3 linked regions of the Styela clava genome follow. The protein of the gene in region 1 purifies or fractionates together with the protein of each later gene. This does not show direct contact. Links are inferred from orthologs where the notes say so. Each region holds a gene or a part of one and is shown in the gene's direction. Other genes may lie near its edges.

Region 1 (11,085 bases):
TTGCCCTATAATTGAGTTGAAACAAATTAGGAAAATCCGCTGGGGAAAAGGGACATGGAGGGACAACCTTGTACTTTACCGAGACCCGATCTATATTAAAATAATAAAAAACTCTTATGATTTTGCTTTGACGGAAATAGAAAACTATGAAAACTTGCAAGACTGGTGGGATCATCTGAAACATAAAATTCAAAAAATTTCGATCGCATATGCCAAAAACAGAACCAAGGACAAGAAAAATAATATCTCCCAAATTCGCAAATTAATAGATATTACCATAAAAGAAGGGTTAAAAGAAAACGTCATCAAAATCGAAAAACTAAAAGCAGAGTTGAAAATACTACTTGATGAAAAGAAACAATTAGATCTATTAATGGCGAAAATCGATACACTAGAGCAAAATGAACGGCCAACGAAAATATTTTATGCGAATATCAAAAAAAGAGCAAAGCAAACAACAATAGAAGGGTTAATTTCTCCAAATAACACCTTGGTCACCGAGGAGGAGGAAGTACTATCCATGGTGGAGAACTATTATACTAACCTTTGGGGCCACAAACATCAAACCAATGACGTACAACAGTAACATTACCTATCAATGATGAGACCCACTCAAATTTCAGCGGATGAAAATACCATTCTTGAACAATATGTCTCCAGCGAGGAAGTTTTTGAGGCCGTTAACTCTTTGAGAAACAACAAATCACCCGGTATGGATGGATTATCAAAGGAGTTTTATGTTACTTTCTGGGACTTAATCAAACGCCAATTTACACAGCTCATTAATAACATTTTTAGTTTCGGCCACTTTCCAAAATCTTCCAAAATTGCAAAAGTAAAATTATTATATAAAAAAAATGACCAATCAAACCTTAAAAACTGGAGACCAATCACGACCCTCAATATGGACTATAAAATTATTTCTAAAATCTTAATAAAAAGACTCACACCCATCATGGACCGCATAATCACTCCGACCCAAAAATGCTCTCTTCCTAACAGAAGCATGTATGACATTCACTATAATATAGATGCAATAATTCGGCACTGCAAAATAAAGAACACCCCCGGAACAATAATATTAATTGACAACCTGAAAGCCTTCGATAAGGTTGACCATCAATTCCTATTCAATGTCTTGCAACACATTAGACTTGGTCGCAAGACTCTTAACATCATCCAAAGTATGTACTCGAATATAAAAAGTCGCATTGACGTTAATGGTCGGCTGACGAGAAAAATTACCATCTGCAGCGGCATAAAACAGGGCTGTCCCCTGAGTATGTTGCTCTACGCTATCGTTGTTGAGCCCTTTGCAAGATCTGTGCTTCGAAATACAAACATCCGTGGAATAAAATTAGGCCGTCATGAGCACAAATTAGATCAGTATGCCGACGATATCACCTTTGCTGTAAGAGACCAGACCTCAATACAGGAAATATTTCGGGAACTCGACAAATTTCATTTGGCCTCAGGACAAAAAAATAACCAGGACAAAACTGAAATACTCTGTATCACCAATTCGGCACATAACCTAATCGCAAAATCTCCGTATAGCCAATATATAAAAGAAAACGTCAAAATTTTGGGCATACAATTTGGACATAGGAAACCAGTAAAAATGTGGGACGAAATCATAACTTTATTAATTCGGACCCTAAACTCTTTAAAGCCTAGACTTTTAACTTGGCATGGCAAACAAATTGCTATAAACTCGCTGATAATGTCCATAATTACGTTCCACGCAAGAGTCAAAACAATCTCTTTGAAAACCATGAGACGCGCGGAGAGTGAGGTATTCAAATACCTATGGTATCCTGAGAGGATAGAAGCCATAGGAAGAAGAACCTTAAAACAACCATGGGCGGATGGCGGAATAGCAATGGTGGACGTAAAGTCGAAAGTGGAAGCGTGCCAGGTCGAAAAGATGAAGTGTTTTGCTACCGGTCAAATCCCAAACCAATTTTGGCATTATGAATGCCTCTATTCTTTAGGATCGAAAATGAAACTTATTAACAAAGATCTATACAATAACTCTATGCCTCACAGTATGATAATACCACAATATTGGGCATACATTTTCTCCATATATAATAACCTGAATTTTTCAAGAGATACATGGGATTCGGCCAAACACAAAAATATATACCTGAAACTTAAAAATCATAACCTGGTACAGCAACAACAACAAGCGCGTGCGTCTCCCTTTAGTACTAAGTTTTAAAAATCATTATTGGGTTTAACTGTTGCAATTTTTGCGTTCAACATTAAATTTAAATATTTTGAACTAATTCATTATCTTTCTAGGAGTTACTACGTCCATTTCACCTTTTTTTCGAAGTGCCTAAAAAAGTGCCTACCGGTAACAATTTATTATTTCTGAATTCCAGTACTAGACTCAAGTGCATCTATTGGATATTTGCCCAGGCTAATCAGTGTGGGTAATATTTTTACTTCTCTGTCTTCTATTGGTGATAATTCCGATTTTCTTCTTTTTTCGAAGTGCCTAAATATGTGCCTAGCATATGTGGTGACCGAGCGCGTGTGACTCCTTTTAATACTACGTTTTAAATATTGTTATTCGGTTCACATATTGCCATTTGCGTGTTCAATATTTAATTTCACAATTTTCAACTAATTCATTATCATTTTAAAAGTTATTACGCCCATTTCACCTTTTTTTCGATGTGCCTAAATAAGTGCCTAAAAAAGTGCCTACCGGTAACAATTTATTATTTCTAAATTCCAGTACTAGACTCAAGTGCATCTATTGGATATTTACCCAGGCTAATCAGTGTGGGTAATATTTTTATTTCTCTGTCTTTTATTAGTGATAATTGCCATTTTCTTCTTTTTTCGAAGTGCCCAAATATGTGCCTAGCATACGTGGTGACAGAGCGCGTGCGTCTCCCTTTAATACTACGTTTTTAAAATCGTTATTGGATTTAACTGTTGCAATTTTTGCGTTCAACATTTAATTTAAATATTTTGAACTAATTCATTACCTTTTTAGGAGTTCCTACGTCCATTTCACCTTTTTTCCGAAGTGCCTAAATAAGTGCCTACCGGTAACAATTTATTATTTCTAAATTCCAGTACTAGACTCAAATGCATCTATTGGATATTTACCCAGGCTAATCAGTGTGGGTAATATGTTTATGTCTCCGTCTTTTATTAGTGATAACTGCCATTTTATTTATTTTTTGAAGTGCCTAAATATGTGCCTAGCATATGTGGTGACCAAGCGCGTGCGACTGCCTTTTATACTACGTTTTAATTATTGTTATTGAGTTTGCCCGTTGCAATTTGCGTTTTCAACATTTAATTTGACCATTTTTAACTAATTAATTATGTTTTTAAAAGGTATTACGCCCTTTTTACTTTTTTTCCAAAGTGCCTAAATAAGTGCCTAAAAAAGTGCCTAATTTGCAAGTGCCTACTTTTAGTCCGTCCCTACTTTTGGTCTAAATAAATAATACTCGTACAAACTATTTTTTTGTGTTTTTCCTAATTCAATGATCAGTAGAAATTTACAGCCGTATATACCCTTAATGACATGGTAGACGTTTCAATATTACAAAGACTGGCCGAATGTTTGCCATATCGCACCGTCCCGGTTTTTTGTTTCAGATTTATGGTAAGCCTACACATATTTCTTGTAGTAAAAGCTTCTTTTCCGTAAAACGTGCAACTTTTGGAAGTGGGAACAAGGCAATATTTGTTACTAAATTTTTAAGGAACATTTTAAAATCATTTTCAGGTAGTTACCTGATGTGCGCTACGAAACTCACTTTCTAGGCGCTTTTCAGGGCCTCGGCTCGCGGCCTAAAGCTATTTCTCTCGTTTTCTCGTTGGTCGCAACGATAACGATACAGCGATATGAGAGAGATCGCTGGCGTTGGCGAGTTCGTTATCAGCGGCTCAAATGCCGTTTCGGTCGATCGTAGCTATACTTGGGCAAGCTCTGTGACGTGATTGTGACGTCGTAGTAACGTAATTTTTGGATGTCATAGTCAGGTGGGGGTTAGGAAGAACATAGGCAAAATTCGTCATGCTATGCCCACCGTAAGTGCATGTGGTACTAAATTATATTAGACCCCTATTCATCTAAACAATAATCAATCGCTGTTTATTACTGATGAAATATTTTCTTTATTGTATTATTATCTATTATTGTTTATATTAGTGTTGATTTTGTTTTTGTGGCAATAAATCTCACTCTACTAAATCTCTACCCCGGGAGTTCCCAAACTTTATTGGTCGCGGGCCGGGCCAAAATTAGAATCAGAAAGATATTCGCTGGCCGGAAGAATGTAGCACCCAAGACTTTCATTTGACTTTTTTTTGAAACATGCTCGTTTGACTCATAATAGCGCTCAATGTTGTATTCCTTCAGAACTGGAATAGTTCGTTGGCAAAGTAGACAAATCTCTAAAGTTTGATACTTTTCAATGGAGTAATACGAATACTGCCATTTATTCAAGAAATGTCAGTTTTCTGAGTCTAGTTTTCGTTTGATTTCTGACATCTTTGAGCTTTCCTATATGGCTGATAACTAAATTACTGTCCTTTGTCATCCTAACACCGGTACCCATAATTGATATACTGGTATAATTGAATTGTTACGATAAACATGTGCTTGAACTCGGATAATGACATAAATTAGCGGTATCTAGATCACATAAAGGTAGAAATAAAATCTGTTGAACACTATTTCACGTAAGCTCGGCGGGCCATTTTAAATCTTTACGCGGGCCGGATCTGGCCCGCAGGCAGCGGTTTGGGAACCCCTGATCTACCCTATCAACATCACTTTTCTGCTTTTGCTACTGATTGTCTCAGCTAGTCATAACGCAACTCAATTCAATGACGATAGTGATTTACCAAAGATTTTTTATTTTTTTGTAAGTAAGCAACATCAAAGTCAACACGCAAATGCCCTACTACTATGACTAATTGTTACCTATAACACCAGATGCAGATATGTGACACGGCCACAGTAATGACCAAGTTTGAACCACACTGTATTACAGTACGGTATTATGGGCATTTTTATATGGACCACAGCGGTCTGGAGTAATAAACGAATTGAATTAGACCTACTGGACTACAACAGTATAAGGCGGTTTGGTGTGCTGGTTGTCAGGTTTTTAGCGTTATTAATAAATTGATTCATTTCTGTTTCTCATTTTAACAGAAATAATCCTCACGCTATGAATAACTTTTGTCAATTTGTATAGTCTATGTAGAATGATTGCAATATTTAATATGTGTTGTCAGAAGACACAAATTTGCCAAAAAAGTGTACGAAAATGCTTCCACTTTTCAAGGAATTTTTGCTGTTTGTCGCGAAGAACATATGCAACTCATTATGACACACTTGGTATATCCAGTGATGCAAAGTCATCTGAAATAAAAGAAGCATACATCAAGAAAACCAAAGAACACCATCCTGATACTGGACAATCGGATAATGTAGATGATTTTCTGAAAATTTCTGAAGCTTATGAGGTGTTGAGCAATCCGTCCACAAGAAGACAATATGATTTCCAGCAATATGGAAAATCATCCGATTATAATAGATTTAAATCCGGAGAATATAATATACCAAGGCATGACCCCGAGTTTGATAGAGCTCTAAGATATCAAAACAAAAAGGCGTCAAAATCCCATTCTGAATCCAGATCATTTGATGATGAGCCAATAAAAATGGCATTATCTGGTAATGCCAGAGTAATATTAGACTATTTATTAGCTGCTCTAATATCAATATGTGTTGCTATGTATTTAATAAGTCGCCATCAAAGGACAAAAAGTGAGCAATCAAAAGAGAACGAAGATTAAATTTTAATGCTTATTATAGGAGGCGCAGTTCTTACCACTTCATGGCAGCTCCTGCCACGAACGAGCCGCGGCAGCTCTTGCCATGGTTTTATAGCGCTATTCAGTAATCAGTATTAACGGTATATTCACAAATTAGTGTACCAGATTTTATTTGATCATGTGGAATTATATCTACTTAAACCCTAACCCTAACCCCAAATCAATCAAAACTGTATTCATAAGAAAAACGTTCCAACTTACCCAATATTTGTCACCATTATAGACAGCCCTGTCTTTACGGCCCACCTGCCGCGGTTACGGCAGCAAAATTTTACCTGTCATTGGTTTTCAATTTGCTGCCGCGGTAACGGCAGCTCGACATTGGTTTGTGGCAGCTAAAAAGTCAAGTTGCCATGAGTTTGGCCGTAGCGGCCATGGTAATGAAATACCGCCATGGTTTTGCGGCAGCTGCAGATGCCACAGAATACTTAAAACTGCACTTGTATTATAGGTTCTAAGTACATATATATCATAAATGTTTGGAAATATGCAACATTTGCTTGTTGGCTGAAATAACTATTTGCTGATTCACATTCAGTAGATCTATATAAAATAAGTTGAGAGATATACTAAATACTAATTTGTCAGTGTTTGCAAAAAACTTATAGCGTGCATATCCGGTGCTCAAGAATATTCGGCTGAAGTATATTTCTTTGAATCGAATCTATGTTCCTATATGCTTATGAGAATTGAGTTACATAACACACTGTAATCTATTTAATAATTTCTATATTTTCCTGCTTCATATTGGAAACATTTTTGACATTTATTCCATATATACCGGTAATTCATGTTATATCAGTATCCTGACATATTATTTGTGAGTGAAATTATTGGAACATTTTTTCTTTACATATCTGTGAACTGATACTGGATTAATAAATTAATATTAAGACTTTCAGTTGACTATTTAAGAATTTCTCTCTTAGATGGAATTACTACATTGCACTTTTCTAAGTTCCAATCTGCAATAAATTGTAAATTATAGTTGTGTTGCAGTGTAAGACCTACGTCAAAAATCATCAATGCTATTATCCTGATTACCAGGTTAAATAGGTTCAAGATGCAGGAGCTTCCACCAAATAACATCTCTTCTTGTCAATTAAAATCGTTAGGTCCTAACCTCTAACATCAAGACATGCAAAGCAGTTCGCCATAATATTGTATTAGTGTTAACACTAATACAATGATTTGGCAAACTGTTTTGCAATTAATTGCTTTTTTGTTTCATGTTCAAAGTTTTTTGTATTTTTTCACTGCATCGAGAATGAACAAAAGTCAGTGAACAATAATTCAGCTTGAAGTTTGTCAATGATAATACTGTATGTTTAATAATAGTAACGTTCTTTGCTATTTTCAGTGGTTCTATCAATATGTGAGGTATTTTTTTGCGTAAAGTTTTATTTAATAATTCTGGATTTAACATGTCTGCACAAGGATTAGAAGATATAGTAGATAATGAAGACTTCTATAGTCTTCTAAATGCGTCCAGACAGGTACATCATTATTTTGTCTTAGCTTTTATTTATTGAACTTTATATTTGATTTTGGGTATTAAGTGCCTTTTGAAATAAAAATTTCTTTCTTTGGATTTGTGATTTAACTTGAATTCTGCTTCATGCTGTCCCTCTTATTTGATTGTCACAGGCTAGTCAAGATGAGTTGAGGACGTCGTATCGTAGATTATGTATGCAGTATCATCCAGACAAACATAATGAAGTATACAGGAGAGAAGCTACAGAAGTTTTCAACAGAGTCCAGTATGCATATGATGGTATGTGTGAATTCAATTTAGTTTGTTGCCAAACAAAAGTGAGTTGATTGAATAATGTGCAGCCAAAATTTGCTGTGGAATAATCCAATAGAAAATGAAGATGTTCAAACATTCAAACCATTCTGTGTGCGTTCTTATTTTGAAGAAAATACGAGATGATGCAATTGTTGGGAGTACTGGAGAAATTTTTTTTAGTCGGTCTGACATCAAAAGCTTCTCGTCAATAGGCATTTGCTTCCTCATAATGCACTACTATAAATCTATATAGTCTCAGTATATCTTGACATTCCATTGGTTTTCCCTAACTTTGCTTGTAGATGAGTCATCTTTGCGTTTGGCTGTTTGTGTCTTCTCAATTTTATTTGTTATTCATGATCAATATGTTTTAGTTCTCAGCGACCCAAATAAGAGATACATTTATGATATGTATGGGAGAAAAGGATTAGAAGCAGAATGGCAGGTATTTGATTTTTTTGTTTCTTGTTGAACTCTGAGGGGATTTATTTTAGTTTTGCTGAATTGTTGATGTTAACTTTGTTGTTGTGTTTAATAAAATAATTGCTTTTGTCCAAATCTATGTTTGGTAACTAACAATTTACTCCTTCACACTATTCCGACAAACTTTGTGTTTAGGTAGAGCCTCACCATACTGTATCCACTCTCTTTGTATTTATCATATCGAAAGTAACCCTAATTAAAACAAATTTGCCTCGTCGTACATGGGATTTACTAGGTGAGGGAAAGATCTCAACATGAAGATCTTAACAGGAAGAAAAAAAATGAAGCATAAAAAATCCCATCTCCAAGCTAGGTGCTGTAAAGTAGTTTAAGTAGTTTAGTTGCTCTGCTGAATAGATGTCTGTTTTTTTCGGTTCAGTATTTTTTAAAAGTGAGGAAATAATCTAACAACATAACCTAACTTATCGTAAGCGTAACCTAACCTACGATATCGAATCGAAGAAAATACGAAATCAGTGGTGAAATAGTACCCAAAATCTTGTTTCTGCTCATCCTTAATTCTGACAAGTCTTATTTTATGAGAACTGCTATCATTGTATGATGTCCCTCTATTTTTAAGATTGTGGAGAGGAAGAAAACACCACAAGAAATTCAAGAAGAATATGAAAGGTTACAAAGAAGAAAGGAAATGCAAAGATTGGAAGAGAGAACTCACCCAACTGTAATTTACCTTTTTCTCTAAATATTGTAACATTCAAATTTCACAAAAATAGAATATGACTTCATGTTATGTGCGTGCTGGCTGAAGAATGAATGTTATGAAATCATTGTTGGCACGGTTATTTGAAAACCTATCTATAGCACCATCTTCCAATGTTGTCGTCTGCTTTGTTTCTAATACTAATAAGTTAATAACATGCCTGAATTATTGTTTCAAATGTTTCTAAATCTGGCTTGTGCTGTAGCACCTTTTGGTCTAATTGACTTATGTAATCTTACGCGAAGCAATTATCATGATCTTGAGTCGTATTTTTTTAATATAGTGCATTTAATCATTGATTAAAGATTGCTTTTTCAAAAAAATAAATCTCTGTTATGCTGCAGGGACAATTTGTAATGAATGTGAATGCAACATCATTGTTTGACGGACAACCTTATGAAGAAGATGAATTTTATGACTCAGTTGCAGTTCCTGAAATTACTAAATTATCTTTGTCTCAAAGCGTAGAGGTAATAGCAATTAGGCGGTTATTTATGTTACTTCTGCTTTTTGAGTTTCATAAAAACGCTTCCTCATGTAGAAATGTAGCCATTATATAGTAATCTTTGAACGTTGTGATTCTTTGTCGGCGCATTTTGGTAGCTCAAAGTTTCCTATCACAGATTCAGGACTTGGTTCCCAAGTCAGAATGTTGTTGAATTCAGAGACTGCCTTGTTTCTCTTAACCCGTTGTATTTTTGAATGGTCAGAATCAGAAGTTGGAAAACAAATATCTTCGACTACACAAGACTAGCCAAGTGCTCTCGTCATATTAGACTATTAGTTTTGACTTATGGTTCTCTGTGTTTGGAGCTGTATTTCCCAGTTCAATTGTCGATGTTTTGTCAGAATTGAGATGTGCAGTGTCAAAATACCTTCATATCTACTTTTTAAGGCACCTCTCACTGTTTCTCACACTGCAACAATATCTGGGAATCTTGAATCGAAGAATGGCCATGGTAGAGGAGATCTATCTGTTGCATTGCGACAAGTAATCTCACCGCTAATGTGGGGAGAGGTATGATATGACTTTCATTTTGTATTGATGAAATAGGAATTGTGAACATGTATTATGCTTTTACATTTTCTTCTCAATTAAAGTTGTATAAAACAATGGTATTAACAAATTCTTATAGTATACATCAGGGTGGTCCAAACCCAGGTCCGCAGGCCACATGTGGCCTGCCGCTTCATTATCTGTGGCACGCCTCACATTCGGTGAGTAATCGAAATATCGCATTTCGTGTGGTTTCGTCATGAAATTATCAGAAAAATCTTTCGACATATTGTCGTCACTAATGTCACTGAATTGGCTAGTGTTATGGCTAGCTGAGGCAACTAGCGAAGTTAAATAATGTGCTTGTCAGTCTAAATTGTTATCTGGTTTTCTAACTTTTTGGTCGGGAATGTAATAATAATAACAATATGCTAACAATATAGGCTTCAGAGAAAACTAAAAATCGAATGCTGCTTTTATTAGCCTGGAATAGTTATGCCTGATAACTATGTGTTTGCACAATAAAAGTGTTGGTTTTGTATTGCACAGTTTACCTATTCTTGGCACTTTTGTGGCCCGCAAACAATGCAAAAATAATTTTGTGGCCCGCGGAGCCGACAATCTTGGACCACCCTGGTATACACATTTATAAAATCCAAATTATTTGTTTAGCTCACAGTTGGCGCTTCAGATGGGAAATTCATGACATTTGGGTTACGAGGATACAGAACAATTTCTCAAGGATTGTAAGTACTACCGTATATATTTCTCACTATTCTTTTGATTTGATTTTTACTCAGATCCATTTTTAAATCAAAGAGTCCAGATGTTTTTTTTTATTACAAAAATAAGATATCCATATCATCAAATTAACGAATATGTCCTATCCCTACCGTTAACTGAATTTCATTTTCTTCGAAGAAGTGCCTTTCACGTGCATATCTTTATAATTTAATTACCTTTTTTCTACACTGTTGAATTTTTTCAGATTTGCCACGGTGCACATACCAGCTAGCGTAATTTTTCATGACTCGAATATTGCCATATCACTACCGGGTGTTACATCTATCGTTGGTCACAAAATAAGCGAAAACCTGTTTGGTTCAATAGAATTGACTAAAGGACATGTCGATCGTTTATCAACGAGTATAATATATGAGAAAAAGGCAATTCAGATATTTGGGAAACTCCAGGTATTATATTACTTCATTG
Region 2 (11,499 bases), on another chromosome or scaffold:
AGTTAAGCCAACTTATTTAGATAAAGTATATTTCTACAACACTAAACGCACTTCAGCACTTGCTTTTGCACAGTTCACCATTTGAATTGCTTACCGGTATTGATATGTATACATTGACTATACAATATTAGTGAAACTACAAAAAAATAACAGAAGTTTAAAGGCTAATATTTCCCCCTCAAACAACAAATATCTCACTGTACTGGCCGGAGAAGGATTCTTCCCACTGTCACTGTCCAAGGTTCTGACGTTTAGACGTTGGAAAGGTTGTTCTAAAGTCTTTGCTTGTATAATTCCCAAACTTCAGTTCGCCCATCAAATATAAGTTCTTTAATAACTTTAATGATTTCCAATTTAATCTTTTTTTCTAAAGGCATGGCGATCACATAACTGACAGGCGCTAAATAAGGAAAGAAGAATGTTCACTCTCGCAACAAGACAATCGGCAGGGTTATATTCACTTTGATCGTCGCTCTTCGGCACCACTTCATTTTGAGTGTAGTTTGAGTTCTATTTGTTCTCAAATGATTTACGCATTCTTATTTTGCAAGTAATATTATATGTCCGCATAAAATCATATCATCACTTAAATTAAGTGAACATTCGAACTTAAATCTCAAAATGTGGCGACGCTAAGAATAAATATTAGAAATCGGACACTTTTATGTACTTTGCAACAATCTCCTTCTCAACGTTTCTGATCACTTTAGAAATTAGTTTAAAAAAAACTCGAGTATAAGCAATTTGGATCATTGTGAATATATTTTTTCATTAAGAGAAAAAACAGTTGTGACTACTAATGTAAGGACGTGTCATGTTCAACAAGTGCATGGTTTACGTTTCGCCTCCAGCCTCGCCATATTTTGTTGCCATACTTCTTCGTAACTATGTTTCACTATAGCCAATTTTAGCATTTTTATAATACAAAGTGCAATACGATGACGATCTACGGTCAATCAGCTCGCGTTTTAAATAGAATTATTTATAGTAATGCATCCAAAACTAGAAATATTTTCGCCGTAAGATTTAATCGTTAATTTCTGAATGCGATATATTTCGGTTTTGTCAAGTTTTTTTTTTATAATGCTAAGAGCTATACTTGGGCTTACCATACGTCCCGGTTTAGCCCGGACAGTCCCGGTTTTGACGAGCTGTCCCGGCGTCCCGGCCGGTTGACTCAAATGTCCCGGTTTGTCAGTACGGCTGTCATGGGTGAAAAATTCATATTCCTTAATGTTACAATTTTTTTTAACGGTGGCAGCCCATTTACCACTGTTTTGCGACACACTTCGCTGGTTCAGAGAGTAAAAAATTGCTCTATTGTTATGTCACAATCGGTATATGTTTTAATGCGTTTTCTGGCGTTAACTACAATGCCGTTAAGTTGTCGAAATGCCATAAAAGAAGTACAAATTTTCTAATGAGTTGAAAGGAGATTTTATATAGAGATTATTTTGTTTCGTTACAGGCGCAAAAAGGCAGGTACTACACGTAAAAAAGACGCCGAGTAGCAAAAGCGAGCGGAAAACGGACGCGAAAGGCGACGAGAAATATGTATGTATGTATGTATGTATGTATGTATGTATGTTTATTCGTCTCGTAAAAGCAATATAAAAGAGTAAGTACTTATAAATACTGAAGACGGGATGTATGCACAAGACCATATTGGCCTAAAACACAGATGTGCGGCATACACCCCTTTGATTTATATAAATTTTAATAGGGTAAATCAAATATGTACAATATGGTCCTTTATACAGGCAGTTGTGCGAGGAGGGTGGGTGGAAGCGGTAACAGGGATATGGGTGGAGTGTACAAAACTGTTTGTACAAAGGAGTTTGTTAGACAAAACAACATCTATAAATAGAGACACAACACAACATGAAACACAATGCATATGAATATAGTAATAAAAAATGTTTCTAAAAAAAAAAAAATTAAGAATTTGGATGAATGTACAATACCATTGAGTGATGATACCACATACTATAAAACGCGGGAATGGTCAAGTTTAAAGGGTGTGTACATATATGGTATGCACCACTCAAGGGCGACAGTGTTATAAGTGGTCTATGGCTGTTCTGGCCAAAATGTGACCCTACAGGTTTTGGCGAAATATGATAATAAAGGTATGTATCAAATGACTCACTATTATAAGGTTTTTTTTGAAATTCTGGATTCAGCCAAAAACAATGAAGTTTCAAAAAAAAAATAAAAAAAATTAATAAAAAGCATTTCCACAAAACCTATTATGGTTGCATTTCAGCCAGAAGATTAGAAAGGTATAAAGGTACAGTGGGATAGGGAATGATAAGTTATAAAGAGAAGCCATTTTACCATGTCATGGATTTTCCAATGTAAATTAAAATAATAAAATTATATGGTATCCCGGGATGAGCAGAAGAAAAAGTGGTAGCAACAATGGAAATAAAATGAACAGCATGCTACTCAAACAAAAACCATTGTCCCTACTCCCTACTATTTGAGCATTCTATCTATAACCTAAATTGCTGTGCTTTTGTTGTTGTCTAATTACGTATGATAATGAAATTAGAATGGTGTGCTAGTTATTAATTCAGTCCATTGTTCTATATTGAATCCGGGTGAAGTATCCTGTGGAGTTATTGAAATTGTCAGCTGGTCTATGGTGACTGAAGAGGAGGACAGTTTCCTGATAGTTCATTCAATCCAAATAATCAACAGCTCTCCTTTTCAGTGTTGAACAGACCTTAAAAAAAATAATCTCCAAACAGTAACATGTTCAAAGCAGAGAAAATTGCTAATATGATGATAATATATATTGTTTAAGTTTGGAACGAAATTCTGAGTTCGATTTTGAATTTTTGATGTCATCGGGTAGGGAATTCCAAGCTTTTGGTCCACATACTGCGATTGATTCTTGTGAAATACTTTTACTGACAAATGGAATAAAAAAATTATCTTTATTTCTGCTGTTTGAATTTGGGTTTGCTTGGAACAGGCTGTTCAGGCTGGTCGGAAGCTCTCCAATGTGACAAGAGAACATCATATTACATAGTTCGAATTTAGCTAAATCCACAACTCGTAGTAGCCTATGCTCTTTAAATAAGTCATCAATTTTTTCGCGATTACCTCTATGAAAAACTCTTCTAATAAAGCGATTGCAAACACTTTGAATTTTTTTGAGAATGGACGATTGGCGATGAACATAAGCTGAGGCACAATAACGAATATGGCTTTCTATCAGAGAGTGGTATAGAGATATTAAACAAGATGTATTTAAGTAGTTGGCTATTTTCGTAATGGCACTAAGAGACGACCTTGTTTTCGATAGAACCATATTGGTGTGTTGTTTCCAAGACAATTTATCATCGATCATTACACCCAGAAAGCGAGTCTGATTAACTCTTTCTATATTTATTCCATTTAATTCCAAATTTTGTTGCAGAGTTGGACACTTTTGCTTCGGGGTGCTAAATATCATATATTTAGTTTTATCGACATTAATAGTGAGTTTGTTCGCAGACAACCAAGCTTGAATATTTTCTAAGTCGGTATTTGCCTTGGTCAAAAGTTCAGGCAAGTTTTTGCCTCGAAGATATGGCGTTGAGTCATCAGCAAAAAGCAAAAAGTATGTGCATTGGAGCGTATCAGGAAATACAATCTTTCGCCTGTAGTCTCATGGAGTGACGTCAGAGTCGCCTATCATGTTGTTTCATGTCATTGGTCCGAGTAACAGAGAAAAAATCATTCTGCGATTTTGTTGATAGTGAGTATCAACGGCTATTACAGCATGGCAACACTCGGTTTTCCCTTTATTACCTGCTTTGCAAAGGATTACGGAACTGTTTGAAAGCTTGATAAGTTATTCAAATTCTCAAGAAGGATGTCCTACTCTTATGCTTAAATGTTCCAGCGTACGAACTTCACTTGAAATTCATCCTTTGCCAGCTCACCTACTTCAACAAAATTATTTTAATTTTGAAAAAAGATAATACTAATGCCGTAGATCAGGGGTCGGCAACTTACGGTTCCAGGGCCGGATTCGGCCCGCAGAATATTATAATCCGGCTCGTGACGCTTCACTAAATTATAGTAACAAAACAGCCGTTTTGACGATTATATTTTTTAAACTAAATTATATTATAACCTAACAAGTATATAATTCACAACTACTCGTTTAATGAGCCTATAATTTAATTATAATTAGACAAATGGCAACAAAACGCAGAAAAATGATGCGAAGTTCAAAGGGTTCAATGGCGCTGAAAATATTCAAATGCAATTTTTTGCGATGCAATGAGGATGTATTACTGCTTGATTTTTATTATAAAAAGTATCATCCATTCGGTTCCAGCTTTCTAAAAATATGTACGGCCCGACAATGACTCGCAACCCTTAATTTTGTCCCGCGAGCGACAAAAGGTTGCCGACCCCTGCCGTAGATGTCAGAGGTGAAGCTAAATTTGAAGGAAAAAGGGTGAAGTCTTTTAATTCCGTCGCAATAACTTGTACTTCTGGAATCCTTGGAACGCTCTGGCGAAATCGACGTAACTGTATTTAAAAAGAATGTTTGCGGTATACAAAGCAGCATGATGAAGCCTACAATGCTCCCCGGGCCCCACATATGGACAAATTCGAAGGGTGATTTAAACTGGACTAAAGTGTTTGGTTTGCAAAATGGATAAATGATATGTTCGGTTAGCTAGTCAGGTTTTGAATAGAGATGCACTTTTCGACGAATACTGATAAAGAGATATTTATCTGAGCATGGTTCAAATGCAATTTGGCTCACTTTGCGGTTGAATTTAAGTGGACAGAGATGTTTAACGTTTTTTCTAACAGAAATATTAGCATTTCGAATTTGCAGAAACTCATTGATTTTGTTTGCCGGAACATCGGCATCTGTTGAACAGATTTTCTTCATTGTTAAAATTTTCTGGCCTGGAAGCAGGTTCAGAATGCCAGAAGAAAATATAAAAGCACTCGTAACCTGCAAATTTAATGGTGATGTCTCTTGTTATCAGTTTTATGACAAAATCAAAACAAGAATTTTTGAGAAGGGTTCCATCTGCGAACAAATACTTTTGGTCTAAATAAATAATACAAACTATTTTTTTGTGTTTTTTCTAATTCAATATTACAAAGACTGGCAATCAACCGAATGTTTGCCAAATCGCACCGTCCCGGTTTTTTGTTTCAGATTTATGGTAAGCCTAGCTATACTATCCATCAATACAATTTCAGCAAAAGACTTTAATGGTAATATATACAGCCATTGCTCTTACAATTATGCACTCAATGGGCTTATTTTGTTGGTAACGTTTTTTATATAGTACAAGAGAGCTATGCTCAAATATATGGACACGTAGCATAGTGGCAAATTGTGATGGCGTCATAGCACGCAAAAAAACGATAAATGAAAGTGATAGCCTTCCAGCGAAAAATATAATTTTTAGACACTGAAAATTTCGATTTCAGCCTGCTTCATGCTACGTCAACTTAAGTGTATTTAGAGAAAGTGGATGGGCATTACCAGTCTGGATATTGCCTATTGTTTTGAACACATTTCATAGTTCAATTGTAAAATTTTAATAAATTAAACAAAAATAAATACTTGTAGCAAACTAACATGTATGGTATTTTGTGGTTAAATTTACTACTTTTTTGAGAGTTACCGTTTGTAATTCATTGTAGTTGTAATTCAAAATAAAAGGAAAAAATCAGGCAGGCTGCATGTGAAATTTAAGAAGCTTACTAAAGTTTGGCACGTTTACAATATTCGTATAATTGGAACACAAATTAATGTTTAAAACCAATGACTATGGCCTTTGATTTAAATAAATTATAAGCTATATATTAGAGACTATGTTGGGTTAATTATCATTACATAAGCGTGCTACCGTGTTTTCCCGATAATAATACCTACCCTGAAAATAAGATCTAGCCTGAATTTTAAAAATGATTTTAATATGAGCCCTCCCGTTAAAAGACCTAGTCAACAACGCAAATTTATTTTTACCCAGTCGATAGCAAGAAATCCCTCCTACACGTTTTAAATGATTGATAGTCTATGTTTTACAGTTATTTTGACTGAAAACGTGTTATTCAAAAGTAAATAGATATTAGTTTTCATATTTTGTACATTTAAAAATCTCGTAGTTCTATACTTTGTAATTTTGTTTTTGATAAATGAAAATATAAGACATCCCCCGAAAATAAGCCCTAGTGGTATTTTTTTGGAAGAAACTTGAAATAAGACCCAGTCCTATTTTCGGGGAAACACGGTACGTAATATCAACTTAGATTTTAGACAGAGTGTTCTTTTCATATTCCACGGGAAAGGAAAGCACATATGTTTTGTTGATCATATGATTTCGGACTGAAGACGTGCGCTTACTGGCTTTTCCAAAGTGCAAATTTGATAAACCAATTTAGTTTTATTATTGCACACTGTTCATTAGATCAACGTGTGCCGCAGTCGATCACGCCATGTATGCATAGAAATTGGGAACAGTAACCGCAAAATGATAATGGAATCGGATGCGTTGTTTACTGTCTTTTTCAATCTGCTGTCAATACAAAAATAAACATTTCGTTTGTTTTATTAGTATATTTTTGCTTTTGTTCACGTTTGTTTTTGGTTGACGAATCAATAAATCTCTCTTTGTCTATGTGCTTGTAGGAATTCAATACATTCCGAGCATCTATCTTCTTTTGCAATTTAAACTCGCCACTACATTTAATGCCTCAACAAGTGAGAGGAGACAACAAGAGTTTAATTATTTTTGTTACACCATCCTTTACTGCAATACATCAAATACGTCTACTTCTACATTGCCATGCATAAGCTTTACACTTTATACAAATTTTCGGACCTCCAGAAGTATGTGCATCAAGATGACGTACAACCTGAACATAGTGTGTGTAACAGGTTAGGGTTCAGGTTGTGCGCCATCTTGGTGCACATACTTCGGGAGCGCCCAAATTTTATATGAACTACAGTGTCTGCGGTAGCGTGAATATTGATTTTGCATGCGTTGGTATTACGATTCGTGTAAAGAAGTTGACCAAGAGGATTTTTAAAACTTCCAAATTTATTTTATATTCATTGAATTCCAGGTATTTCATCGGTCAACTTATGTTTGTCGTAGGTTATTATTATTTATTTACGGTTAAACCGTAGTAGTATATATTTACGGTTAAACATCGAAAAGATTTGATTCATGCCCATTAATTCTGTCATCGTTCCACCGTATTAGCAAAGCCATTATATAATGGCTCTGGTATACGGTAAGTCTTCATTTACGGTTCCACGAAATGCGAAATTTGAGCAGCGACACTCGCAGCGGTCACACATGCGACTTCACTCCGCGAGGTTTGTTGGTTTTGTTTCTTACAAGCAGACAAGTGTCAGACGCCGATGGACTTCGAATCTCAGTGAGCGGCGTGTATTTATTTGTAAATCGTCATGTTGCGGATTAGAAATCGGTTGGGATGGCCTCGGAGGACTTATCAAAATATTACCGGGAGAAGGAAGTTATCAACTACCGCATCTAACTCTAGCAGCCCCGTTGTTATTGCGGGCGCAACAGTTTTATCTGGTGGTTTAGTTGCAGTTGGTGCTGCTTGGCAGTTTCCGTCGTTCAGAGAAAGTGCTGAATTGAATTTTCCACCTGCAAAATACTTATTTAATCCCATTTTGGGGCCGCTGAATAAATCGATAGAAGCTGTCCCGAAAATTAAACAGTCCAACAGAAAAGTAGGTGATGTCTTTGAATCAAGTTTGAAAGAGGCAAGAAAAATTAAAGAAAAGACTGAAGCGAAGTTGGAAGATGAAAAAGTGACTGCTTCTCATGATGAGAGACAGGAAATTTTATCTAAACAACCAATTGAAGATGAAAGTTCTGCAACCGGTGGTATTTTGTCAGAGTCTGAAGTGAATATTCCCCAAGCAGTATCTGAACCAGTTCCAGAAATGCCGACTTTAACGAATGATGAGGTACAACCAATAAAAGAGCTAGTGACGGACGTTGAAACTGAACAGATTGGTGAAAAAGAAATACAGAATGCACCACAGTTGTTGCCTGTTACAACACCAAGTGATTCTTTACCAGATAAAGATGGGAATCATTTAGAACGTACACCTGAAGAAGTCTCACATAATATCATAAAACTGGAGGAAGATGTTATTGCAGATACTGCTGCAATATTGACAATACTGGATGACGCTTTGTCATCTTGTGCACAACGTTGCTTGGAGGCTATCGATAGTAACCTAGAAGCATCTAAAGCGATTGCTTTACATACATCTCTTCTTAAAAGTGCTATGGATGAAAAGGAAACCAGTTCTGAGGAAAAGAAAAACCAGTGGACGGATGTTTCAAGAGTTCTTGAGCAAAAATCGAGACTCCAGCAGGAGGCAGAAAACCTAAGCCAAGATGCTCGACAGGAATTATCAAAATTGGGTGCGATTATATCTGAAATTAAACGGTTCAATAATTCAGATGCAAATCAAAAAATAATTAGTGCTGAAGAAAACTGTAATGCTATGCGCAAGGAATTAGAAAATGCTTGTAGAGAAGTCAATATTAAGCTTTCAGAGTCACATGTTATTTCACAATACAAAGATTTGATCGAAACAGCAAAAGAACAATTTCGTCAGGAGCTTATGTCTGTCATGCCTGATGTTAACGTTGAGTCTGGGTGGCGAAAATTGAGCCAGAAGCTTTCTCAAGACGATCTTAATGCCCTGATTGCCCATGCGCATCGTAGAGTTGATCAATTGCAAAGAGAACTTGCAGAGGAGCGTGCAATATCAGTGAGCAGAATGGAGATGGCTGTACGAGCAGCAAGGGAAAAGTGGGACGAGCAGACTGTTATAGAAACTGAAAGAAAAATGGAATTGCTAAAGCAGGAAAGTGAAGTCGAATATGAAAAAAAACTTGAAGAAGCAAGACAAACTTTTGAACGAGAAATGAGAGTGCAACTGAAACGGCAAGCTGCAGCGCATTCTGAACATCTTGCTGACATGCTTGGAATACAGGAAAAGCAAGTCAGGAAAGAACTGGATATGGAAATGAAACAAAAACTGGAAGAACAGGAGGAAAATTTCTTAGCACAAATGGAAAAGGTAAAAGAAAAGTATGAAGATGAATTGCATGAAATAACGGATAAGTTTCAGTTTGATTTGAACAAAGCACTTTCAAAAGTAGCGGGTATTGAAACTGCAATTGACGGTCGAGCACACATTGAGAATGAGTCTCGGAAGGCACAAGAGTTATGGCTTGCTTGCGAAGCTCTTCGAATTGCTGTGCAATATGGTGATGACGGTAAACCAGTTCCTCTGGAAAAGGAATTACAGGCTATTTCACAAGTTGATGGTATAGAGTCGCAGATATTAGAAGTAATCAAAGCATTTCCCGAGCGTGCTAGCGACTCTGGTGTTTACCCTGAAGAAGCGATACGTCTTGCTTTCAAGCAAGTATCAAAAATGTGTAGACGTCTGTCTCTGATCAACGAAACAAGAAATTCATTTTTTTCATATTTTCTTTCATATTTAAAGTCACTTTTAATCGTAAATCGTGCCCAAGCAGAGCCTCCACAGAATTTGGATCCCAAAGAGTTAGATACTTTTAAAATTTTGTCCTATGCGGCGTATTGTTTGGATCGTGGTGATTTGGAGCAAGCTGCAAGGTTTATGAACCAACTTAAAGGTGAATCAAGAAGAATTGCTGAGGGATGGCTTAAAGAAGCTAGATTATTGCTTGAAACCAAACAAACCTTGCAAGTTTTATCAAGCCTTGCATCTGCGTCAAGTATCGCCGCAAATCTAGAAGTATGAGAATGCTCGAAATTTATAGCAGCATCTTTTTTCATCAAACTCAGATTTACAAATGTTTATATCTGCATGTTTTGAAATTTATGTTGTCAACTGTAATATTTTGGTGAAATGCTATTTGATTTTTTTATTTGTCAGTGAGGTTTATCACATCTTTCTCCAGACCAGGCTCTGTGCAAGCAGCCATTGATATGTAATGAGCCATGGAACAGTTAGAATTTCCTTTTCAAAATAGCCCAGAAAATTTGGAAGCGTTTTGTGAAGTAAGTGGTGGGCAGAAAGATCTCAAACCTGTGACACCAACATAGTGAATAATAAATCTTATGTGTTAGCCACTAGGATCAGGGTGCATGCTTTAATAAGTTGAAAGTATTGCTTTCTTTTTTGATTATTTAAATGTCAATCTGATAAAAATATGTTAAATCTGGTGCTTGGTGTCTTTGTTATAGTGAAATGTAAAGGATTTGGTTGGGCAACCCCGCAATTCTGTTCAGTATGAATTTTCCTTCTCTTCGTCCATGAGGTAGGGATCAATCTACAAAACAAGGGCTCTTTGATAAAATCTAGGTAGTCGCAAACTATTCGACTGGTATGGAAGAAACACTTTTCTTGAGAACCCTGTCAGAGCTATTTCACATGATAGCCCCATCCAAATGACATTAAAAAGAAATTTCTTACTTTCAACATGGGTTTATTATTTTGAGTGCAACATTCAACATTAAAAACGTTTTGAATAACATAAATATAAGGCAATACAACAACAATGATGATCTCAAAACACACTTCATTGATAGAGCGGACCATGCTTAAAAGCTAAATTCACACAGGTTTATGAGCTATGATTTAATGGTTTTAGGCAGTTGCAACAATTGTTGATTTCATACCATATTCAGTGGTGGGGTTCAGGACCTGTTTCTGGAATGTCATTGTAATGAGCGAACCCGATTTTGTTTAAATATTGGATGACTGCAGCACATGGGTAATATGCACCCCGGCTGAAAACTGTTACCGGTATTGCATTTGGAGTTTCGAAAGTTGTGTATTAACCCTTTCCGTGCCGTACCCACGACAAAACTCGCTAGATTGCGGCGGGTACGTTGATGTACTCTACTGTTTTATTTAGCAATCGGTCACAAACTGTTGGTCTAGTTTTTCCGGGTTTTAGTTTATTGATAAGAAGTCTTCTTCGAGATTAACATAAGCGACGGTAAATCTCGCTTTCGTTTACCATGGGAATTTTATTTGCGGCGGAACGAGGGAGTGTTTTTGAAATTTATGCAAATTCCGGTGTTTTTTGGGTGGTAATAGAAGACATATTATCCCTTCCATCTACCAAAGTATTTTGAGTTAGATAACGAAATTGCTACAGCAATATTATATTGTTTGCCAACCAAGAAGCGGTAACAGTAAAGGATTTAGCGAATATTTCTATTTTTTATCACGGTTTGAAGTTTCAACACCCAGGAAAAAAAATGCCTTTTTTCTATCCGGTTTGTGACTCAGACCACCCCTAAATTTTTTTTCAATCGCCAATTGCAAGCTCTTTAAATAAGCTTTCCAACGAGCCGTCAGTGGGCAGCAGAGGATCATTACTTTTTCGTTAGTCGATCGATTAGTTGTGGGGGTACAAATGCATAAAGTCGGCGTAGCAAATACGATTATATAATAAAAAATAAAAA
Region 3 (10,609 bases), on another chromosome or scaffold:
AATACCAACGTATATCATTCGGTCGTCTAACTTGTGTAACATAAACACACTGCTAGCATGGTGAGTTCAAATATAAAGCTTTTTCAGCCGACACGTCTAGGCTATTCTTATCGTTTGGGATTTGTTTAGATTTGCCGAGATAGCTTGATTAAGGTAAACAATCACGAAGTAATGTGTTGAGTGGAAGCAAAATTAATAAATAAATTTTAAATGAAATTCCTCATTGTGAATAAAACTCGTGAGTGCTGTGTTGTAGGCGCAACATAGTTCCATATAAACAGCCTCATCATTTTTCCTCTTTAGATCTTTGGGAAATTGAAATGAGAATTGCAAACGTAGCAAGTTGGGTTCAGATTCAAATCTGATTTGTTGTTATTGTGAGCCCGGTTAGCTCAGTCGGTAGAGCGTTGGACTTTTAATCCAACGGTCAAGGGTTCAAGTCCCTTATCGGGCGTTCGCTTTTTTTCAACGGTAGTAGTTTCAATCTCACTGTTCTAAAATGTTAAAAGTCTAGCGCCTAACCTCAAAAATATCCAGCACACAAAAGCCCCAACTAACAGATAGTAAGGTCTCCTCCCAGAAGGTTTTCCATTGAATTTTATAATCGTAAAATTTCGTTTTTGCGAAAATCTATTTGCACAAAGGTTTATTATCTTTAATATACATTTTTAAAATGATTTCTCATATAGGTTAATGCATTCCTGCAAAAATTGCTGACCACAAATATTTACGGTTTACACAAATATTCCGCGCCCAAAGTTCTCGCAGAACTACAAAGTTTGTTCGCGCAAATGACACAACCAGAATTCGCATTTCACCACTTTAAGCTTTTAGCTTATGCTCAATATGCTGTCTGTTCGCTTTGCGTGTTGTCAACATTTTCTGCCAGCCACGGAAAAGTTTAAAATGGAATGCCAGCTTTGATTGAATTGATATCAAAATATTTAGCCTAAGTGTCTATAATTTATCATGATATAGATAAAGAGAGCATGATATAGAGAGAAATCCCGTGCTTGTTTGGGATGATAGTTATTGCCGAGAAAAATCACTCCTATCTGTGACTAATGGAACAAATCGATTTTCCTTTTTCAGTACTCAAAAAGTGGTTGAAGTGTTGTATATAACTTTTATATCAATCGTTTCGTTACTATGCCGTTGTTGTTCTTTTTTTTTATCTCAATTTCCTTATTAGTATTTTACGACCAGTGAGATTGAAATACAATCGTCGAGGGAAAAGATAACGCCCGATATGGGACTTGAACCCTTGACCGTTGGATTAAAAGTCCAACGCTCTACCGACTGAGCTAACCGGGTTCGCAGCAGCACAAAGTTTATGTATCCACAAATAACCGGTGAACTATTCCTTGGCCCATGTCCGTGAATGGTTTACTGAATTCGCCTAAAATAACCATCCCCTCCAACAGTTATGGAAAGACATGGGTGTTTCCTTGACCCTTGACCCCAGAAAACTTTCCCCTATTTTACCAAAATTTTGATGCTTATTTTAAAAGTGTTTAGGAGAGTTGGCGCTTGCGAACTGGTTTACATGTTCTTCATATATTTTTATATCACAGTTTTTCTAGGACTAATTTTTGAATATATTTCAACAAAACTAAAGCTGCTCAAAAGACATAATTGCAATCAGGTTATTTAACTTACAACTCATTTTCGGAAACACTACTGAAAACTGACAAATTAAATCCAAAATCGATATAAGAAAGCAATGTTTACACATGTGCATCAATATCTGTCTGGACAAAGAAGTGTCCGAGCGGCTACATAAATTGCAATTGTTACGTCATTGTTGACGTATTCCCAATTGGTCATGGTTACGGACATAAATAGGGAAATCAATGCTCGGGGAAACAACCAGAAAGAACCTCACCCGGAGAACACTTTAAGGTGCTGCAAACATGTGCGATATTTTGAATGAACGGTTACATTATAAGAGATTCGCTATTTGAGGTGCAATATTGGGCTTTGATAGTTCGACAACGACAAATAGAATTTTGTCACCCGGACAATTTCAGATCAATTTAAACTAAGTTTCACTGTCTTTCGTTGCATTGTTGAGATTTATTGGACACGAAATGGCGATGTAAATTCTGATTAAATTTGTGCAATCTTTCATGGACCTTTCAAGTTATTCGTGGATATAATTAAAAAATTAGTTTGATTTCCCCGAAAAAATAACTTACACAAACAATGAACACAAAATTTATTGGTAAAACCGGTAAAGCTTTAAATAAAGTCAAAACATGTAAAAAATACACGTGCCAATTTACCAATCTTACACACACGAACAAGTATAAAAAGATAAAAAAAAAAATACCAACGTAAATCATTCGGTCGTCTAACTTGTGTAACATAAACACACCGCTAGCATGGTGAGTTCAAATATAAAGCTTTTTCAGCCGACACGTCTAGGCTATTCTTATCGTTTGGGATTTGTTTACATTTGCCGAGATAGCTTGATTAAGGTATAAGTATAAGTATAAGTTTATTTCGACTCCATAATCAGCAATAGACGATAAAAAAATAGATAAAAACAAAAGTAAAAGTAACTGATTATAGAATCGGGAAAGCGAACAAACCTAGAGTAAGGTTTGAAACGTACAGATTTTAGATGGAAAGGTATTGATAAAAGAAGTAGTAGGTGTTCGGTCACCCAACACGCTCACCCAAACAATCACGAAGTAATGTGTTGAGTGGAAGCAAAATTAATAAATAAATTTCAAATGTCTTTGAATGAAATTCTTCATTGTGGATAAAATTCGCGAGTGCTGTGTTATTGGAGTAACATAGCATAAATTGAAATGAGAATTGCAAACGTAGCAAGTTGAATTCAGATTCAAATCTGATTCGTTGTTATTGTAAGCCCGGTTAGCTCAGTCGGTAGAGCGTTGGACTTTTAATCCAACGGTCAAGGGTTCAAGTCCCTTATCGGGCGCTCGCTTTTTTTCAACGGCAGTAGTTTCAATCTCACTGTTCTGAAATGTAAAAGGTCTGGCGCCTAACCTCAAAAATATCCAGCACAAGATAAGCCCCAACTAACAGATAGTAAGGTCTTCTCCCAGAAGGTTTTCCATTGAATTTTATAATCGTAAAATTTCGTTCTTGCGAAAATCTATTTGCATAAAGGATTATTATCTTTAATATACATTTTTAAAATGATTTCTCATATAGGTTAATGCATTCCTGCAAAAATTGCTGACCACAAATATTTACGGTTTACACAAATACTCCGCGCCCAAAGTTCTCGCAAAACTACAAAGTTTGTTCGCGCAAATGACACAACCAGAATTCGCATTTCACCACTTTGGGCTTTTAGCTTATGCTCATTATGCTGTCTGTTCGCTTTGCGTGTTGTCAAATTTTTCTGCCACGGAAAAGTTTAAAATGGAATGCCAGCTTAGATTAATTTGATATCAAAATATTTAGCCTAAAGTGTCTATAATTTATCCATCATTACGGGAGAGAAAAATAAATAGGCCACGCTACCTGGTAGCATACCGGTAGGTCAGGATTTTCATATTTCGGCGCGGCGGTGTGGCTCAAAGGACTAAGCGTTAGCAATACGCTATCCACCGCACCTCTAATTACTCTGCGTGGGTTCGCAGGTTCGAATCTCATGCAGGGATGGTTATGTGCGAGAGGATTGCTGGACTCCTCACCGTCGTTGGGTGGTTCACGTAACCGCTGGTCGGTTACGGCTTCCTCCACCGTCAAGTCCATGCTTCCGAAAACAAACAATATAACTAAACCCATACCGGTACCCGACTTGGAATGGTACCGGTAACTGGACGAGAGGCCGTGGTTCACCATATAGATGAGCTGTCTTATCGGCTTTCCTCTCCCCCGGGATAAATATGTAAATCCTATCCTATTTCTGTGCCGGTACCGTACCGTACCTACCCCGTACTGGTAGCCTACCTATGTAGTTTCGTACCGGTACCTAACATACTTCGAGTGGGCGTAGCATGACAATTGTTTCACGTGTCATTCCTAACCCCCACCTGACTACGCCATCCAAAAATTACGTCACTACGACGTCACAGTGACGTAATAGAGCCCTCAAACTATACCGGTACGAAAAATCGAACGAGGCTCAGTTTTTACCACTTCATGGCAGCTCTTGCCACGAATGAACCGTGGCAGCCATGGTTTTATAGCGCTATTCAGTTAACGTATCAGTATTACGGTATAATCACAAAATAATGTACCAGATTTCAATTGATCATGCGGAATTATATCTACTTAAACCCTAACCCTAACCCCAAATCCATCAAAACTGTATCCATAAGAAAAACTTACCCAATATTTGTCATCATAAGGGACAGCCCTGTCGTTACGGCCCACCTGCCGTGGTTACGGCAGCAAAATTTTACCTGCCATTGGTTTTGAATTTGCTGCCGCGCTAACGGCAGCTCGTCATTGGTTTGTGGCAGCTAAAAAATCAGTTGCCATAGGTTTGGCCATAGCGGCCATGGTATGGAAATACCGCCATGGTTTTGAGGCAGCTGCAGACGCCACAGAATACTTAAAACTGCACTTGAATCGAACAGCTATTTCTCTCGTTTTCTCGTTGCTACCAAAGTCGCTACGATCCCAATAGGAGAGAGATCGATGACGTTAGTCAGTTCTTTATTGTTGGCGCCGATGCCATTTCCGGGCGATCGTACTTATATTTGGCAAGCTCTATGACGTGATTGTGATGTCGTAGTGACATAATTTTTGGATGGCGTAGTCAGATGGGGGTTACGATTGACATATCAAAAAATTGTTATGCTACGCCTACTAGAAGTACGTTAGGTACGAAACTACACGAGACCAGTTATACCTAACCCCAACCACCTGGCTATGACATCCAAAATTTATGTCACCATCACGTCATAGGGCTTGCTAAATTAAAAATTACGATAGCCCGAAATGGCATCTGCGTCGCTGATAACAAACTCGCTGAAGTCGGCGATCTCTTTCCTATCGTGATCCAGTGACGAGAAAACGAGAGAAATAGCTTGCTAGATTTCAGGTGATCGTCTGCGCGCTTTGGACGACCATCCGCATACTTTGGTGAGCCTCATTACGCCACTGTGACGTGGAAATGACGTACTTTTCTGGTGATGTAGTCAGGCTGGGGTTAGGATTGACATATGCAAAAATTGTTGAGCCAGGCCAACTAGAAGTGCATGTGGTACTAAACCATACCAGACCCTTTATCTCTGTCTCTAGAGTTAGTTGAATCTTGTGTATAAGCACTTTCAATGTAGTTTAATAAAATAACTTAATTCTGCTGGCATTTTTGTGAATATCGATCATACAGCATCATGGCGACGACGGCAACTTCATTATCAATTGTCAAAGAACTTCGGAGGCTTGCCAGTGTGCACACTAATCGTCAATACATGCTTCGGAACGACGTAAATTCTTTGCTCATATTTACTGACCCAGATGAGCAGCCTTCAGTGGTTATTATTGAAGCTTTGCATGCATTGCGCTACCTTGCACAAGAAGCGGTACGCAACGAACGCCAGCTTCATCATTTTCAAAATACTGTCGGATTGCAGAGTTTGCTAAACAAAATTGCTGGGAAAGAAAATTTTAATGATGATTGTAAAAAATTAGCGTCGGAGATCTTGTTTTTAAGCAAATGTAATGTCCGTCCAGTGTCTGTTGAAAATAACAGTGGTGTTATTACCAGGGCTGGGATGAGAAACGCTAGAAAAGCTGGCAAAGAACCAGTGAAGTTCTTGGGGGGTAACAAAAAAGCTAAAGTCATAATGCTCCAAATCGAAGGACTTGATGGGGAGGATAAAAAACAAGAGTGTACAAATGAGCTCCTACGAGTAACTGGCGTTATTTCGATTACGTTTAACATGGCGTCGCAAAGATGTACTATCCGAGCCCGATCTGACATGCATGCGGAAAGTCTTGTCCACGCAATCCATAACACACGGAAAATGACAGCGAAACAAGTCATGAAGAACGAAAGCGGGGAGGAAGTCCTCGTTTCCTTCGATGATGCAGACAGATCAGACGAGTTACCCCCCTATTTAGAAGAGGACTTGGGGGATTCCCCTAATAAGGAAGAAAATAAACAAAGTGTGGCGCGGCCTGGATATACAGAAGCAGTGGGAAGTTTTGCAAAGTCCTGGTTCGGCAGCGTAGTGAGTGCAGTTAATAAAAACCTTTATTGGTGAAACTGACTTTATGAAAAAAACTGCGGACTTTTGTAAATAATCTTCATGCAATTTCATCCATTAGTATCCCTTCCACGAAAAATTGGTCCAGAAAATTACTGCCAAAAAAACGTTAGCGGTAGGGCGAATTTTATATTAATGGAACATCTTCCAGTGGGAACTATTGTACTACAGGGGTGGTGACTCCTCTACGACCCATGGGCCGGGGTCACAAGCTTGATGTGCCGCGGCCCCGTCAGGAAAAATTCAATTATCTTACCAAAATTTTCAATTTTTACAAAATTGTCAATATTCGAACCAAAAAATAAACTCCTGTAGTATGTGTACCAGGTTAGGGTTAGGGCAAAATTTTGTTCAGATTTTTTACATTATAGTTTTATTATGAGTTTGGGGACTGTTTGTGTTAGCCAAGTGAATAGTTTCTTTACACAACTTGATGGGCCGCGGCCCATAGCCTGATTAGCCTGATGGGCCGAAGAGGAGTCACCACTTCCACTCCTATTGTAGGAGGTATTCTCATGGTAAAAATTTTCAGCATTTCAGTTTATTGGTTTTGTTTGTCATCGATATAGAACAACATTTTTTGCCACTGCGTCACGAACGAGTTTTCAATGATAATAGTTCTTATACTAGTTATTTTCAGTATAGTAATATTTTCTGATTTAGCATTTATGAAGGACTGGGGCAGTCCGATACAAGCTTGTACCTTTTACTCATTTTAATTTGAGTCATTTTCCAGTTTAGGGAGTTTATCATTAAAAGCTTAAAATAATAGTTTCTCATTCACCATATCTGAAATTCTGACTGTTTCCTATTTACTGTACTTCAAATTTTTATCGAAATGTTTCGAAATATGTTCAATATTTGATTTGCTAGATCAAGAAAGGTATTGTTAGGAAAGCATAGACATAGAATCCCTCTTGTAGTTGATTTTAATTTTGAATGGTCTGAAATTCTGAATATATTTGATTTTGTGGCGCTCCAGTAGTATGTGTACCAATATGGAGGTAACTAATTTTGTTTTTCCTTTTTTACGTCAAGTTGTCTAAAGGGACTGAAACTATGGACAGGGGGTATATTTACTTGGCTAACACAAACTGTCCCCGAACTCATAACAGAACGAAAATAAGGAAAATCGGGATAAAATTATGGCTTATTAACCCTAACCTGGTACACATACTACGGGAGTACCAATTTCGCAACATTAGCAGTAATGGAATAGCAAATTGAAAATCTGCTTGTAGTATGTAGTTTCAACTAAAAATTCCTTGCCTGAACAATTTAGAAAAATTAAACAAATATTGCAGAACATTTATCTACCAGCAAGAAGCAAATGATTGAAGTTTTGCTAACGTTTTGAATTTCTATACAGATACACTTCATAAGGGTTTTACAAACATTTTAAGCGGCGCCCCCTTTTTAGAATTTTACAAGTCTCGCGCCCAACCTAAAAAATATCTAGCTGACAATAGTCTACAAATAACAGATAGTAACGAGAAAGTATATTTTTCATTCAAAAAACACGCAGAAAGTAGGTGGATGGAATCGCAATCTCCAAACAATAAAAAAATATAAATATCCAAAATAAAGCAGGCCAAAACAAACAAATATTTTTATTTTTAATTAGCTTCACTGGGGGGGAGGGGGGGACGCGCACCATCGTTTGAGTGAGAACAACTGGCATGGACATTCAAAACATTGGCAGAGTTTATTATTTGCCTCATGCTAAATTGCTTTCTGAATATTGCAGACCCTCAAATATATATATTCGAACAAATGTGATGTCCTTTCTAATTGGTGTATTTGACCCTCATTTCAACCTAAAAATCAATGGTGTGTGAACTGGCAGCAAAAGTAATACCCAATTATGGTGCAAAAATCCTGTCAATTCATGCTCTATTGATTTTTGTTAATTAGTAATCTGAAGTATACCAATGTAAGCATATTTTATGTATCATCATTTTACTGCCATTATTTCTATTCACCTCATCTTAGCTTTTTGAAAAAATTTAGGAATTTTATTTGACAATTTATTTTACCTGTTTAGCATTGAAATTGCCAATTTGCTGGTGGTTTTGCTTCAAATGAAATATTCATTTTTTCGAAACTTTTCTTACTGCTGTGTTTTATGTCTAGCAAGCTAATGACGAAAGCGAGGTTACCAAAAGCAAATAAAATATCATAATACAATTTTGAAATTTCTCTCATTCGGTAACCTAGTCTAGAAAAGATCCCCGAAAAAAATTGACAATTTTGAAATTGGAAATTGGAAATGTTTTAAATTGGAACAACCCTGGCGAACATTACGAAACATACTGCCAAATCACATTGCTCAGTGGCCATTTTTCCTGTGTTTACATCTTTGCTCCCAGTAAGCAAAAAGCATATAAATTATCGTATTGAAAAATGCATGTTGAATCCTTATTGGCAACTGTCAAACATCAATATGCCACTACGTACAATTTTATTTGGTCTTGCCTACTTCAGTTCAATCTAAATCTCGCTAAGAAATATGAAAGCGAATAATAGCAGCACTGGCAGATGTCTGTATGGCATGTATGTTTCTGGCTAGTCACGCTCTGTTTCATTTATTTCTTGTTGTTGAAAAATATTAATGTACTATAATTGACCGGACTATTTTTATCTTCACTTTTTGACATAATTTTTGATTTTTTGTGTTTTCAATAAAATAGGATTCAGGTAAATAGTAGAATTAAGTTTAGGATAACTGCAATGGAAGCTACTGGAATTTGATTATCATCATGCCAGATTTGTCTTCAATTTAACTAATGGAATCACCAAAGCGATTAATGACAGCATGGATTACAGTGTGTATGGATAGAATTGTTCTGGCAGTTCATGCTTCAATAATTTCTAGTATAGAAAGAGGTTTTATTAAGATTTCGAGGATATTGTTTTCTCAATCGATCAGTTGGGATTCATATCTAGGGCTGTGAAGTATTCAGACTACAAAGCTGACAAAAATTCTTGGACTTCAGAAGTTGAAGGTAATTTTGACTCGAACTTTGAGATTCGAATCCCGGGTTTTTGTTGGTAGGTGGGGACGTTCGTTTTTAAATTTAGAGTTCGCTCGACTTCTGGGTATTGCTGCATTCTGTTTGTTCGCTTACTTTTCAAGTTTTTTTCACGATTAATTATTGAGAACCAAAGTGAATTGGTGATTACTTGTATTATGTTGCCTGTTAAATCATACAATTTGCCATCACTGTTGGCCATACTGGCCATCGAATGTGTGAATTCTTCATCTGTTCCATATTGTCTAGTGTTGACCAGTCTTTTAAAGTCATGGCTTGCCTTCCAGATATCTTTGCATTCTGTTTGTTTGGGTTTTCAAGTTATTTGGATTTATATCAGATAGCTAATATAAAATAATTGATTGTTCATATTAGTTTATATCATCTAAGTTTTTATATACTGAAGTCTGTACTAATTTATTTGGTACTCCCGTAGTATGTGCTCCACGATGGCGGACACCGGAACATAGTATGTGTACCAGGTTACAATTTTCCTTTATTTAGTTTCATTACGAGTTCGGGGACTAGCCAAGTTACTCCCGAAGTATTTATACCTGAATTTATGGTCTAACCCTAACTTGGTACACATACTATGTTCTGGTATCCGCCATCTTGGTATGCATATGTACAGAAATAAATTACAGATGCATCATAATTTGAAGTTTCAGATACAAATACTACGGGAGTCACTCGTCTAGTCCGCCATCTTGGTTCATATACTACAGTAGTACCATTTATTTATATTGCTTGAATATATTCAAATATATATTAGATTTGACACTATTATTTATCTCACCACGCAATAAGATTAGTATTGAATATTAAATATGCTTGAGATATTAGGTACATACCAGAATGTTTCACAGCCAAATTGAAATATTTTAGTTTTTTTTCACAGTTCTAGCTTCATTCTATCATATCATAGTGGTATCGTTTGTTGAATTTGGAAGTTTGTCTGAGGTAGGTTTCATGTTTTTAATTGAACATGTTACAGGAACTTTCGTGTTGATATTTCGCTTTCATCAGTATGAAGTGCGACCCAATTTTAATGACGCAGAAATATCCAAGAAAATAAAATTATCTACTTTTAGGTTTTTGTTGAAAAAGCATGCGAACTCAAGTAATTTTGCAGGCGAGTCAGTTTTGGGCCCCGGCGTTGAGAAACCCTGGCCTTCCTAATTACACAAGATTAAGTTTTGTATTGATAGTAAATTGCATTGGGTTACATTTTTTCTCATACATTAACATCTCATCACAGCAAAATGCCAACAAAAGTGGGTTGCCAACTGAATAAGCTTAGGAAGCACTGCTGTATAACCCCTGCAATATTGGATATTATGCAATTATTGAGTCACATGATGTTATTTTGTGCTC

What was found.
Region 2: the proteins of dnaJ homolog subfamily C member 11-like (region 1) and MICOS complex subunit Mic60-like purify together in Homo sapiens (co-immunoprecipitation; 3 studies listed by BioGRID and IntAct, with this or other methods). This does not show direct contact. The link is inferred for Styela clava from reciprocal best matches to the Homo sapiens genes DNAJC11 and IMMT.
Region 3: the proteins of dnaJ homolog subfamily C member 11-like (region 1) and armadillo repeat-containing protein 1-like purify together in Homo sapiens (affinity purification with mass spectrometry; 4 studies listed by BioGRID and IntAct, counting the BioPlex papers as one, with this or other methods). This does not show direct contact. The link is inferred for Styela clava from reciprocal best matches to the Homo sapiens genes DNAJC11 and ARMC1.

Annotation. Positions count from the first base shown.
Region 1 is NC_135253.1:1,588,894-1,599,978, reverse strand, and holds the start of dnaJ homolog subfamily C member 11-like, read left to right. Parts: upstream 1-5,842; 5' UTR 5,843-7,307; coding exon 7,308-7,379; intron 7,380-7,530; coding exon 7,531-7,657; intron 7,658-8,046; coding exon 8,047-8,117; intron 8,118-8,735; coding exon 8,736-8,837; intron 8,838-9,220; coding exon 9,221-9,346; intron 9,347-9,771; coding exon 9,772-9,894; intron 9,895-10,545; coding exon 10,546-10,619; intron 10,620-10,861; coding exon 10,862-11,066; intron 11,067-11,085.
Region 2 is NC_135250.1:12,329,923-12,341,421, reverse strand, and holds MICOS complex subunit Mic60-like, read left to right. Parts: upstream 1-7,248; 5' UTR 7,249-7,450; coding exon 7,451-9,823; 3' UTR 9,824-10,248; downstream 10,249-11,499. UniProt on the Homo sapiens protein: Component of the MICOS complex, a large protein complex of the mitochondrial inner membrane that plays crucial roles in the maintenance of crista junctions, inner membrane architecture, and formation of contact sites to the outer membrane.
Region 3 is NC_135261.1:2,117,531-2,128,139, reverse strand, and holds armadillo repeat-containing protein 1-like, read left to right. Parts: upstream 1-5,187; 5' UTR 5,188-5,327; coding exon 5,328-6,200; 3' UTR 6,201-6,365; intron 6,366-6,683; 3' UTR 6,684-8,893; downstream 8,894-10,609.